Linked DNA regions of Styela clava. The protein of the gene in region 1 purifies or fractionates together with the protein of each later gene. This does not show direct contact. Links are inferred from orthologs where the notes say so. Each region holds a gene or a part of one and is shown in the gene's direction. Other genes may lie near its edges.

The links. Proteins that work in one complex are often made in the same cells at the same time.
Region 2: the proteins of uncharacterized protein LOC120343555 (region 1) and protein LSM12 homolog A-like purify together in Homo sapiens (affinity purification with mass spectrometry; 4 studies listed by BioGRID and IntAct, with this or other methods). This does not show direct contact. The link is inferred for Styela clava from reciprocal best matches to the Homo sapiens genes ATXN2 and LSM12.

Annotation. Positions count from the first base shown.
Region 1 is NC_135252.1:15,480,371-15,487,337, forward strand, and holds the start of uncharacterized protein LOC120343555, read left to right. Parts: upstream 1-3,940; 5' UTR 3,941-5,259; coding exon 5,260-5,300; intron 5,301-5,814; coding exon 5,815-5,854; intron 5,855-6,389; coding exon 6,390-6,446; intron 6,447-6,594; coding exon 6,595-6,666; intron 6,667-6,967. Other genes in the region: uncharacterized protein LOC120342220, read left to right, coding at 73-190, 484-610, 1,128-1,254, 1,544-1,831. UniProt on the Homo sapiens protein: Involved in EGFR trafficking, acting as negative regulator of endocytic EGFR internalization at the plasma membrane.
Region 2 is NC_135254.1:9,556,723-9,563,633, forward strand, and holds the start of protein LSM12 homolog A-like, read left to right. Parts: upstream 1-3,897; 5' UTR 3,898-4,133; coding exon 4,134-4,700; 3' UTR 4,701-6,911. Other genes in the region: uncharacterized protein LOC120344576, read right to left, coding at 1-82, 557-1,209, 2,033-2,257, 2,455-2,572. UniProt on the Homo sapiens protein: Nicotinic acid adenine dinucleotide phosphate (NAADP) binding protein. Confers NAADP sensitivity to the two pore channel complex (TPCs) by acting as TPC accessory protein necessary for NAADP-evoked Ca(2+) release.

The DNA of each region.
Region 1 (6,967 bases):
TCTATGTCCCCATGCCCTATATTATACAGATTTATTATAGATTATGAAGAATTTTCATTTGTTCAAAAACAGGAGATTGCAGAGTGCAAAATTCAAATAGAATCGATGGAGGATAGACTGAAGGATTATGAGCGAATAGCTTCTGATGCAAGAGATAGTGAAAAAGCCGCTAAAGAGAATTGTGCTGAAGGTGCTTTTTTACGGATAATTCTTTTTAACAATCTGACATATTTTATACCCTTTAATTTTCATGTTTTATAGGTTTGTATATATTAGATTAGGTATTAAAATGACAGTTCAAAATATCATAGTGAAATGTATATTTGGTAAGTAAATATTTATGAAAATAATTCAATATGCAAATTATCTGTCATAACTTCAATCTGACACAAATTTAGACCCACATTCTGACTTCCCATGTTTTGAGTTTAAGAAGACAGCGAATTTTGGGAAGTTTACAAACCACATCATTCTGTATTCCAGATATTGAAAAGAAATTGGAAGAAGCATGGAAAACGTGGGATGCAGAAAAAAGAGAGTTGGAGAAACGACTCGAGGAATCACAAAGGGAGCATGCTAGAACTGTTGTCACTTCAAGACAAAGTGAACGGTAATTGTTTCTCATCATCATATATTTGCTTGTATCATAATCTAACAAATATCATTTGATTCATAAAATAACTTTCGAAACTAAGCATGAAACATGTATCATTGAATATTAACTTCGACATAGTTAAATTACTTCATATTTATATATATATTTTTTATATTACCATATTTACTGTTACATGAATGCTTAAGCATAGTGAAACACAACGGGTCATGACATGAGCCTCAATAATCTTCATGTTCTTGCAAACTGACCCCAACAAACTATATCCAAACTGTGGAATGTTTTTATGCATTATAGCATATATTTATTCGTTAGCATAAATGTTGTTTCTTGAATTACAATCTTTCTATCTCTTCAACTATATAATGATTGGAAGCTGGCTGATGATGATGGCCGAGATTTAACGTTACTCTTCAGATATGCATTTTACTTTTAACAAGTTGTTTAGTCACAAAGCTCTCGTGCTTTCTCTGTTTCTGTTTTATTTTTCATTACATGTATAATTACTTTACAGAAATGCAGTTCGAGAGAAGAAAAGAGCTGCTGAAAATTTACAAGCAGTTGTTGAAGAATGCAGACAAGAAACTGAAAAATTGCAAACTCGAGTGAAAAGTTTAAAAATGGATAATAATCTTCTAATGGTATTCGTTTCAAGTTGTACTTTTTCGCTTTATAGCAATTCTGCTAATTAATTTTTTACAGGGCTAGGCATGTTTGTACCACATGGTTTCAAGCTAATTATCAAATATATGGTAGTATATTCGTAGTTATTTTGATGAATTTCTATATATGCAAGATTTGTTTTTGCCCATCGGCGTCAACGGGCATAAAAAAAATCACAAAAAAATGAACCTGACTTTTGGTATAAAGTATGAATTAACACAAGTTAAAGTTTTGAATAAAATTAAAATGTTCTTTAAATATTTACAGGCTACATTACGACAGCAAGGTCTTTCGTCAACCTTCAAAGAGGCTCGCGCACAAGCAAGAAAACTTGACATTGACACATCGGTAAATAAACCTAAATTGAAAAGCACTGATGGAACTAGTATTGGCAAAGTGGTTGAACCTTGTACGACTTCTAGTGCAACCCAATCAGTTCCTGCTAAACCAGCTTCGAGCAATACCGATTCGACTGAAAATGTGAATGATTGTACTGCAGAGATGCTCAAGGATTTAGTAGTTATGACTGAAAATATACTAGATGATTCAGATTGAGTTGAATATGAAATTTTTGACTTTTTGGCTACGGTCTCAGTTCTCAGGTGTTTTGATTGAAATTTTTTTTTATATGTGTTGCGTTTGAAATTTAGTTTGCACATCTTTCTTTCCGAATTATTGCCAAAACATTGAGTAACACATTGATAAACAAACTAGGAATGTTTTTTTGTGAATTTATACCTTTTTTAATTTGTTGTTGTTAACATGTTGATTATATACTACATTGCTATCATTTGTGAATAATGGATGCTGTTTTTTATATTTTGTACTAGATTCAGTGACGACTGCATCCAAAATGTGTTTTAGATATATATTTTTTTATTTAGAGCTGCTATATCCTTTGTATTTTCATATCAATCACCTTCTGTTTATAAACAATACAATGATACTTGAAAAAATTATGAAATCTGCTTGTGCCTGAGATGGAATTATAGCGAGTTAAATATTACAGCTAGTTAAATAGAACACGGAATGTTCTGAACACTTTTACCTATTAATTTTTTATCAGACCATGACGGATATTTTCACCATAAGTTTAAAGACATGTAAGAGTGAACTTTTGTGAAACTAGGTTTCAGTAACAATACGACTTTGGGTGGATTTTTGATGACCGTTCATGCATGGCATGTTTCTCGACGGTCGGCGTCTGAAAGGACGCGCTAGTTCGAGATCCTCGCATTCGTGTAAGATTTCGTCCAGGGATTTTCGCGTAAATGACACCTGCCACTAGTCGGGGCAGATGCTATGACTTTCGATCGTAATGGCTCTGGCAGAAACTGTAAGTTCCACTGGTCACGTCAATGACATATTTAGGTGCGGAAATATACATTCTTCCCATAAATTACCATTGCGGCACTTCTATGGCCATTTTCGCGAATCAGTGCTGCAACAGCTTTTTTTAAAGTAAAATTTCGATTTTGTTCTCCTAACATAATTGCGCTTTTGGTAGAGTTTAGTTGGTACAAAGATGGTGGTGAATGGACGGGCCCTAAGAATTCAAGATAATGTTTCAAATTCTTATTCCAACCCCTAAGCAAGTGCGTTGACTGATCATTCTCACAAAATCTTCACAGGAAGCGTCTGATAAATAGCGTCAATTGGTGCAACTTTGTGCTCTATCGTTATTAGCAGCTTAAATCGGACTTCAAAATTGTAATGATCGAACCAGATATGAATATCTCTGTGGCAGAATATCAAAGTGAATTTGTTAGATCAAGCGACAGATCTATCAGACAGGCCCGCGATCATGGAAACCGATAAAAAGCGCAAAACCATGTTGCGTCATTGCGTCGATGATGAAGGAGACTTTGGCATCACATGTCGCGCGGCTTCGTATTTTAGACGTTGTTGCGTCTGATAAATTTGTTTTCAGTTTCGGCTGCGCCATCAATGCGTTTCGGTACAAGTAAACTATCAGAATATTTAACATTTGGTAGTAATGAAATAATAAGTAGACTATCCATGATGACTGATTTATGAACAATACATTATAGGCTAGCTAGGACATTGTTGTCAAAATATCACGGTACCGTACCGGTACTCGTACCGAAACCGGTATCAGTTTTTCTAAATGCATAAATGGGTCACGCATGTCAGCATGTGATGTACCAGCAATTCAGCATACGGTATGGTAACGAAACCATTGTACTATTCAATTCAAGAGTCTTGCTGCACACGAACACAAATATATTTATGTAACGTTTCGTCTGACTGAGGTCAGACTCAACTGTTACAGAAATATATGTGTGTTCGTGTGCAGCAAGACTCTTAAATTGAATAGAATAGCCATTTACACTCTTGCTACAGCATCCTTGCATAATACGCATACGGATCCACCTGCGCAAACGCATAGAAAGCAAGGAAAGGTAGTTAGTTTCACGCAACCTCAACTGTTAGAAACCATTGTCTGATTGTACAGTACAGATATACCCGTAACGTCAGAACGTACCACAGTACCAACTGACCTATTGTAGTATTGTGCAGTACGGTACGGTACCCTACCGGGCAAGATATTCTGATATTACACCTATGAAAATATCAGTATAGCAGTATGATACAGCACTGTCATACTGTTGCATAAATCAGTACCGTACAGTTCATTCACGTATAAAACATGCACTAGCAATGATTTTCACATTACAGCATTATGGATTGTATAAATTTTTCCAAAAAAATTTGCTATTTTTAAAAGTGAAAAATATGCTCATTGTTCAACTGTTCACACTCAACCTCGAATAGAACGTTTAGCATTTCAGAACTTTGAACATCTATCTGCGTTGAGACTTCAAAATTGACCTCATTCAGTCATACTCTGCAGTCAGGCAGTGTGCAGAAGAATTTGATGCATCTCGAGTCATACTCTCAGCTCTATATTGTAGTTGAATATGATCGTCATAACGATGCTAGTAAATATTTTGATGAATGAATTTTTTGTATCATGAATCTTTTATGGGAATTTTATAGAAATTATAACCTAGTGACAGCAATATTAACAAAAATAAATAACTGACTAGGTATATAAATCAAATAAGTTCAAAGCACCCCATTTTCAACCACAGAGAGTGTGCAACTTGCACTCTAGCTTTCGTATGGCTGGAATTTTTATAGTGTGTGCATAAATATTTATAACAATAACTGAGTAATAATTTTTGACTAAACAATATTAGTAAGCTACACCGAATACAAAGTTATTTTTCTGTAATATCTCCCTGGTTGGAAAACGCTGCTGTAACAGCTATGCATTTTTATCAAGTTGCTATTATTGCGAGAGGCAGCATGAACTAATTACACATTTGGTACAATTTTGGATGTACTTGCCAGTTCGCAAAAAATCTTGATTTGAAATTTTCCTCATTGGCTATTTTTGAAATTTTTTCTTATTGGCTAAACCTTTTTGTAATTTATCCAAGTTTACCTAAAATGGAATTTTTAAATTGCAATTTGTTAGTGATTACGGTAGTATGGAATTCTCAAGTTTACGCTGTAAATAATAACCAATTTGTCCGTAATATATTGTTTTGAAATTAGTTATAACATACTTTGTTTTTAGGTTATTTACCTTATTGCCAAATCAGGCTTTCTAAATTTGAAAGTGACCAATAATTGCTATTCTATAATAGCCTTATCAAATTTATTGTTCAAAATTTTTTTGATGATTCAAAGCAAAGAAAACTAGGAAGGTTTGAAATCAACCTGAAATGAAAATTCTGGAATCTGGTTCTTAAAAGAAGTACATCGGATCAATTTTCATCTTTTTAATTGCGGAAAATGTATACACTGTTTCGTGAAATAGTGAAATAACATTTTTCATGAAGCGATTTTATGCAACCAAGTGTTGAATCAAGCTTTGTATTTATGATAATTTCATGTCAATGCTGAAACTGATACGACAACTAATCGTTCATCGATAAATTCTCAAATCCAAAATGTCTGGAGCAAGCAAAGGTAGAAAGTCAAAGAATGTGAGGTGAGTTTGCCCTCGCTTTTATATATGCTTTTTTTCTAATTTTAAATAAATTTATCAGTTATTAAATTCTTTTTGTACCCTAACACAAATGTATTTCTGTAACAGTTCTCTGTAGAGATGCCCTGAACATTTCCTATATTTGTCATATAGACTTCGTAAATTTACTTTTGTGAAATGCCAGCCCATTAAATATTCAAATGTTCCCAGTGTTTTATAGTAGGATATTTTCTTTCATACTACAACCTTATTACCATGTCGCACACTTTTTAATAACACTGTTACATTTATTGTCTCAACCTTTTACGTTTGTCGCATTTCTTTATTACTTCCTGCAGTTCCATTTGTTTTTATATCAATCATTACAAAACTGATCGATGTAACTCTGTTCCCTTGCTGTTCAAGTCAGATTTGTAGATATGATATACTTTCGTGAGATGTTTGAAACATAACCCAAAATAGGCAAGGAAATTTATTCGGTTAAAGTAGGGAACATTTATCATTATTTTTTTTTCAGGCCGGGGTCGAAGAAGAATTCTAGCCAGAATCAAAGTCCGGTATGCAAATAATCTAGATGAATATAATTTACTGAATTATCCTAATTATTTTCTAAACTTCCCTTTCCATATTGATCTTTTTATAAATTTCTGACACTTCTATATTAGCTTCATATAGAAACTCAACTTGGTTTTCCAAAAGAAACTGAAATTCTTACAAACTCAGTTCTAATGAATATGATATTTCAGCAATAGGGGAATCAAACTACTATTTGAATAGTATTCTTACATGTGCCAATGCAATGTATTATGAGGAATAAACCCAAATCAAATATAACATATGCCATGCAGTGCATATATCAGCAAAGCAATTTTTCATCGATATACCTAATTGGTGTGGAGCGGTTAAATTTGAAGAATTTGTATTTATTTTCGATATCCACACTTGAAATTTCTAATAAATATTGAGATTGTGAAATGGTTATTCCTCCTATTATTCTTAAAATAAATTCGTCTTTTAAACCCAATCTGTGACATTTATTAATTTGCTTTGTGAGAAATTCATTATTCCTATTTTGACTATTCCATTTTTCAGCCATATGAAGGAGCATATGGAAATGCACGTCTGGTTCATGTTCTTCTGTCTCTCGTGGTAGGTAAACATAATGAATCATAGTTCCTAGAACCTTGGTTTCAGATTGATATCTGGTCATACTTAATCAATCATGATTATGTGTTGAGTAAGCATTGTAATATTAGTTTAAAAAATTAGTTTAATTCTCCTTTGTGTTTCATTCCAGGGAAAGAAATGCCAGGCTAAAGTAAAAAATGGTGGTTCCTATGAAGGGGTTTTCCATACTTTTAACCCAAAGGTAATAATAGCTTTTCTATATTTAGGAATATAATGTGTCTTTATTAGTAATACATTCAGGGTAGCTAATCAGATTTGGAAATTATAGAATAAATTTAAATACAGAATGAAAGATGAGTAAATTATGAATACCTATTTTCTTACAAAGCAGTGAAATATTTTATGTGGATAATGTACTTGTTTGCTTCGCTGTGCTTCATACACTATTATTATAAATAGAACCATAATTAGAATAATCTAAGTTTTGTCTATAGTCCAACTATCATGTGGTGAAGGAGAAACAACCACATCAAGTCAGAAGC
Region 2 (6,911 bases), on another chromosome or scaffold:
CGTCTGTGATATTTTGAACATCGTTTTCAACTTTTCTTCTATTTCCTCGTAAATGACTTGAGATGGAATTATTTTCAAAAGACTAAAAAAAAATTTGATTTCGAGAAAACACTAAATAGATTTTTGTGAGGGTCTGTAGACAACGATTTTAAATATCTTTATGGGAAATGGGGATACAGAGTCTAGAATGCAGGCCATCCGGGGCTCGAAAATTATTTTATTGCTTTTTTTTATAGTGATAGTCAGTACATCTTTCACTTTAAATGTACAAAATTCTGCACCCAGTAGCCAATAAACCATTGCTTTAATTTCCCCCAAAAAATCTATTAACTTCTCGCATTCTAGATGTTTCAAGGTCAGAGAGAAAAATAAAATTGCACTAGATAATATACGGCGAGCTAAAGTACTGAGGTTGGGTTTTGATAAAATTGAAGCAGGCAAATGGTTGTCTTGGAAGTCTGCTAAAACGCAACATTAATTCACAGCAACTGCAATTGGAGATTTTCTCCGATTCAACCTGTAATACCATGAAAGATGACATGGAAATAAATCGCACCTTCGAGTTTTCCTTCTCAGAAGCCTCTTCTGCTGCCATTGGGGATCCAGCACATTTGATAGACGATACTGAAGAAGCTGTTACAGCATTTGCACTACTTCGTAAACTGCGAGGAGAAATTTCGAAAGTACTTTTATTCATTGAACCGTTTGTTATTATGCCATTTTTTCTTGGGCTATATGACTGTAATTTACCACAATGTTGACAAGTTTCGTCTTTTGCAATAGGAAAAGTTTTATTTAGATTGGAATGGCATTCACAATCTTTCGTCTCCTTCATGTCTTTGTCTTTATTAACTCTCGATGCTTTTTGTTTCATTTTATTATTGCAATTATGATTCGAAAGAAAGTCTGTAGACGATTCCGTAGGAGTAATACAATTGGAACTATGATCTGATAGAGATGATCTCAAACACCGTGGTGAATTTCTAGTCCTTCGTGGTGAAAAATTTGCATATTCGTCATGTTGAAAATTTCTTAATGACAGTTCACTTGCAGATGATTTGGAACATGAATATGAATTAGGAGTTGTAGGTGACTTGTCCTCTTTCTTCATAGGAGTGGAATGGTTTGTACCATTAATTTCTGATGTTTCATGCTTTTGACGAGTTCGTCTATGCATCCCATTTTCAATTGGCAATGAATTTGTAGCATCTGAAAAGTTTATCAGTAATTAATTGAAAATAACAAATAATTTTATTCAAATAATCTAGGCCATGTGGAGTGACATTAGCATGTACGAATAGAGAGCAATAAGTTAGAAGAAATACGTTCGAGTCTTGTTGAAGACATTCTAAAAATGACATCATACACTGCTACAACAAAGTATTCAATTAGGCGTACTCCCGAAGTATGTGAACCAAGATAGCGGACACCGGAACGTAGTATGTGTACCATGTTAGAGTTAGGCCATAATTTCAGGTACAAATACTACGGGAGTCAATTGGCTGGTCCCCGAACTTGTAATAGAACTAAAATAAGGAAAATTTAATAAAATTATGACCTAACCCTAATCTGGTACACATACTACATTCAGGTGTCCGCAATTTTGGTTCACATACTTCGAGAGTACCCAATTAAGATAGAAGCTTCACCCAGCCATTTTCCGTATTTTATGGACCATAAGGTGCACTGTCGATAAATTGCTTACATTGGAATTTTATTCACATAGAAGGCGCATCGGAGTAGAAGTTGCAACGTTTTTTAAATACCGGTATTGGTTTTGAGTGTGGCAATAAAGCATGAAGCACAACCTGATCCTTACATTAGGTGCACCTGCTTATAAGACGCACAACAGATTTTTGAAAGAAAAAAAGATTCAAAGTGCGTCTCATGGTCCGTAAAATACGATACCCATGATGCCAGTGGTGTCGGGGGCTGCTAACCTTGCAACACTTTTCCATACAGTCATAGGGTATGTGAAACATAACATATGGAAATTACCCAGAAACACAGACACCAAGTAATAGAATCTTACCTGCATCTTCACTCCGCAAAACTTTCAAAGGTTTTGCTTCATATTCTTCCTTCAAATCTGATTTTGTTCTTCTACTCCCATTCGTGATAACTTTGTTATCATCAGGTGAAGTTTGAAACCTTCTTTTACGATATTTTATGCCATCCTTCAACTCATTCTCCTCTCCAGATTGCAATCGTAAGCTTCGTCTTGTTGGCGACTTCTCTGGGAAATTTGAATCAGGAGCTGAAAGATCAAAGAACAGTCTGTATAAGATTCAAGCAATGATGTATGGGAGATTTGAATACAGACTGGCAGACAGATAATATAGTAATATTAGTTTGTGTGGTTTGTTGTGTAAATAAATATTCGCAGAGTTTTACAATGCAAATTAAATTTTGAAACAAATAATAAATGACAAATATCAAAAAATACATTTCTACCTGCTCTTGGAGACCGAACCCGAAATACTGTAGGAATCTCGCAAAATTCTTCATTGTGTGTACTGCGCAGTGAACGCTTTGCAATATCAGCAACACTGTTTGACCGTGTTCGTCGCATTTTTTATAATCTGATTGCAGGACTGAGACAGCGAGAGGCTCACATCAGTAAGTTTATAAATTTCATCTCTAACAGTCTAACAAAACAGGAACAACAATGAAATCCTCACATCCTATTTTAGAATTTATTTTTATTCCCTGTAACTGCAGAACTGTAAGACACATCTATACGCAGATATGATACTATACTGTTATACGAAAAAAATTATTACCGTACCGGTATATAAGAAAAATTATATGTATTAAAATTATTATCAAATCCACAAGGCAGCAAGGTTCGGTTTTTAAAAAAAAAAAAAAATAACTGGCTAACTAATCCCATACGATACCCCCAACCTGAACTGGTAACCGGACGAGAGGCCGTGGTTCGCCATACTGCCATATGATTAAGCCGTCTTATCGACTTTCCTTTCCCCCGGGATAAATATGTAGTCTAAATGCTATCCTATCCTTAAACGCACCGTACGATCACTCGATCAGTACCGGTACCGGTACCGGTACAGCAGTACCCGGTACGGACCGCTGGCCGTACGCCCCCAGCACACAATTCAGCAATTCGCCTATATCAAAATATGATTCATCTATTCAAAATATACTTATTATAATTCACAGCAAGACCAAAGATAATAAACACTGGGTTTCATTATATCCTGATGCTGTGGCGATCGAGCGGTGTCGTCGCAGTGATATAACATAGCGTTTCGTATATCACACTTCATTATTTAAAACTTACAAAGAACCACGGAGCACAGCACAGCAGGCGAATCGATACTTACGCCACTGAAGGGCAGCATTGAGACGAATTCGGTTGATAAAAGGTGTGTGATTTACTACGGGGATAGGATTGTTAGAAAAATATCAGACAAATGTGCCAACTGCGTGCAATTTCTATACCCAACGGTGAAGTTTTCATATAGCTAACTTATTTAGTGTTCTGATTAAAGCGACAAGAATCAAGCAATCCTATTCGGCTTATTCTATGTCGGGGACGAAAGTTTGCGTTCGACATATGGAAATCAGCCACAATCGCTAAGTACAACCTGTCCACGATATTTTTTAGGCGAAGTGTAAAACAACTATAAAATAACGCTATGCTTGGTAATCTTTTGTGCATACTCAAATTTTAATAATGTGAACAGAATTTGACTAGTATCGCGTTCTTCATACCGTTTTGAATTAACTGCAACTAATCTTTTATAATTTGTAATATTTGACTTTTGTTCTTTACACTGTAATTTTTGCGATAACATTGTTAATTAATCCGATAACAACTGAAAATATTTTATATTGAAATGACAACATGCCCACAAGATGTCACTATTCGACCGCAATTTTCCATCGGTCTGTTGCTCGCGTATTGGAGGTGACGCATCCATGTGTTGATCAACATTCCGAGACGGAACTGGAAAAACGGAAATAGAGATAAAAACCTGGCTGAAATTTTAAAGGTTGTGGGCCAACGTAAAAAGTAGGGCTCCATGATACTTGTTATTTTGTAAAGGACTATTGTGGTGGTCTGGAGGAGGTAACCCTTACGTTTGGGTGGTCGCGAATCAGGAAACATGGCTTCCAACAACGCGACCAGTAACGAGTTTTTCAGCATGGGCAGCGAAGTGTCGTGTGTCACTTATTTGGGTGAGAAGATTACGGGTGAAGTTATTGCTTTTGATTACCAAACGAAAACATTGGTTCTAAAGCATCCATCAACAAGCGGAAAGGCAAATACGAACAACATCTCATTGTTGAATTTGTCGAATGTCAGTGATATCAAGGTTCTAAAGGAAGGGGCTGATCAAGATTTTGAATTGTGTGCTATATCCCACACAAAATTAAGAAAACGTCTCAATCAGGAAATTCAGGCAAAAGTCAACATGGCGCAAGGTTCAAGTATGGGTGTTACCCCAGATGGACTGAAAGTCTTTGCGTTTATTTTCAAAACCATTGAGCAATGCAGGTGGAATGATAAAAGTATATTAGTAATGGATGAAGTTTTAATAAATCCACCGTATAGGTCTGAAGATTGTATTGCCAAAGATGGTAAAGAAGCAAAAGCACTGGACCATGTTAGAAAAATTGTGGAAAAATACCACAAAGATCACGGAAACATAAGACAGGTTCAAGCAACCTGAATGCCTTCATAAGCAACAAAAAATATTTTATTCCTTATTAGAAAATTTTTATCAATAAATGTGTCCCAGACTGAGTGTGTTATAAAAACAAGTCAAATATTTCAATGGTTTCGTCGTTTGAATGATATTTCCTCCATTTTATGTAATTTGGAAATAATTATATTCATTGAATATATAGCGTCTCGAACATCAAAACTCTATTGTGATTGTGCTCAACTTTTATGGAAACTGCATTCACTCTATTGTAGTTAGCTGAGAAAACCAGCGGAAAGATCGCATTTGACTGACCTATTCCTAATATGAAAACTTACAATTGTATGGTAACTAAGGGTTAATGGTTTTGGCTTTTATTCACTGTCAACATTATATTGATATTAAATTTATCAGTAAGAAAAATTACAATTCATAAAAGTGATGTTCAAACTGATGCCAAATTATTATATAAACATATGCTGTAAACTTATCATAACATTATGTTATTTACATTTTAATTGAAGGAATTTCATCCAATTTTTTATTGTTTTACAAGCATCATTGTAATGCATGTAATATCTGGATTTATGTCGAGATATTAGGAATAACCAAAACAATTTATATGATTGGCACTGGTTATGAATTTTAGATTGCCTTGATTTTGAATGGTAAATGTGGCATCAATCACTCATTTTAGCAATATTCGTTGTGTTGTGACCTTTTGTTCGACCTAATATACTTCGGAATGTCCAAAACCTAACGAGGAGACTTATTCAAATAAAAGTTTTTGAAAAATAATTCATGACGATAGTCACAATTTTAAAAAAGAGTTTGGATTTCGGTGAATCTTACTTATTCCAAATACGAGCTGTTTTCGTTTTGTGGAAAAATTGTTCGGAAAACTTTTTACTAATAATAGTATTGGTCAAATCATGTTATTTTTGTCAAAATCGTTAAATATCTTCTCACGTCTTGTTTTGCTATCAATTTTTGTGTTGGAAAGTTGACTCCGCCCATATTTGTTTCCATCTGTTGTTTTAGATTTTATGATTAGGACTTGATGATTAGTGTCAAAATATTATGTGTGTATCATGTCTTAATATTGTTATTTGCTGAGAAAAATTGCAGCGTCAGGTATCAAAATGTAAATTTTAGGCCATTGTGATGTGGAACGCAGGATCTATTTCATAATTCATAAAGTTGAGAAATGAATCTTTTTTAATTATATTATTTTGTAGCCATGGTGCTTAGAGCTGTTGATGGTGGGATGTAAAATGCCAACTGTTAAGTATAATATTAAAAGCTAGTGATTTTTGAATATTTATCGATGTCTTCACTTAGGATTCCATGTTCGAATGAATTGATATTCTAGAACCCTTTTTTTCCATCTACCAATCGTTGAATTAGGTAATGATTTTTCGAATGATTCTCATCTATACATTCGTGATAGAGCATACATATCAAAAACATGTTCATATACCCTTATCTTACTCAGACTCTATATTCTGAAATGAGTATATATAGTAAGCATTTGCAAAAGAAATACGAAAAAAAAATTGGTGCTAAATATATTGACTGAAAAATAATATTATCCTTCCAATAGGTTAGTAATATCTTACAATTTTTAGAAATTTCCATCAAATTATCAGTTGGAAATATTTTTTGTATTGCTTCATTCAACTTCAAAATCAAAATCAACAAGGAATACTTTTGGAAATTTTGAAGGAAATTTGCGAGTTTAAATTAACGAAAATGAGTCTCTTAGTATGCAAAAAAATAATTGCAGACTAAAGTATATGTTTAGGGGGCAGCTTCTTGTAGTCATTAGGAATTTAACCTCGAAGGGTGGGCAATAAGAACCTTGCCATTTGGCTCTGCTCTGCCTTGACTATAAATGTGACACTTTGACACAGTTTTGTCGAGCCACAGATCTGTGCATTTGTGTCTTAAAATTTTAAATGTACCGTACTTAATGGTAATTATGAGTATTTTGTATTACTGGATTAAAACTATGACTTGCCTGTTTGTAATGGTTGCTGTTTTGGTTGAGTAGAATCCTCATGTCTGCTTTTGTTTGTGAATATTCTGTTACGTTGACCGATATCACATGCTCTTTACTGGTAATAATTCACAAATTATCTTATCCATATTGTCACAATATATAGCCTACAAATTTGAATATGATATACAGTAGTTCCATTCTCATTTTCAATTTATCAAGTAATTTTCTGGCTTATG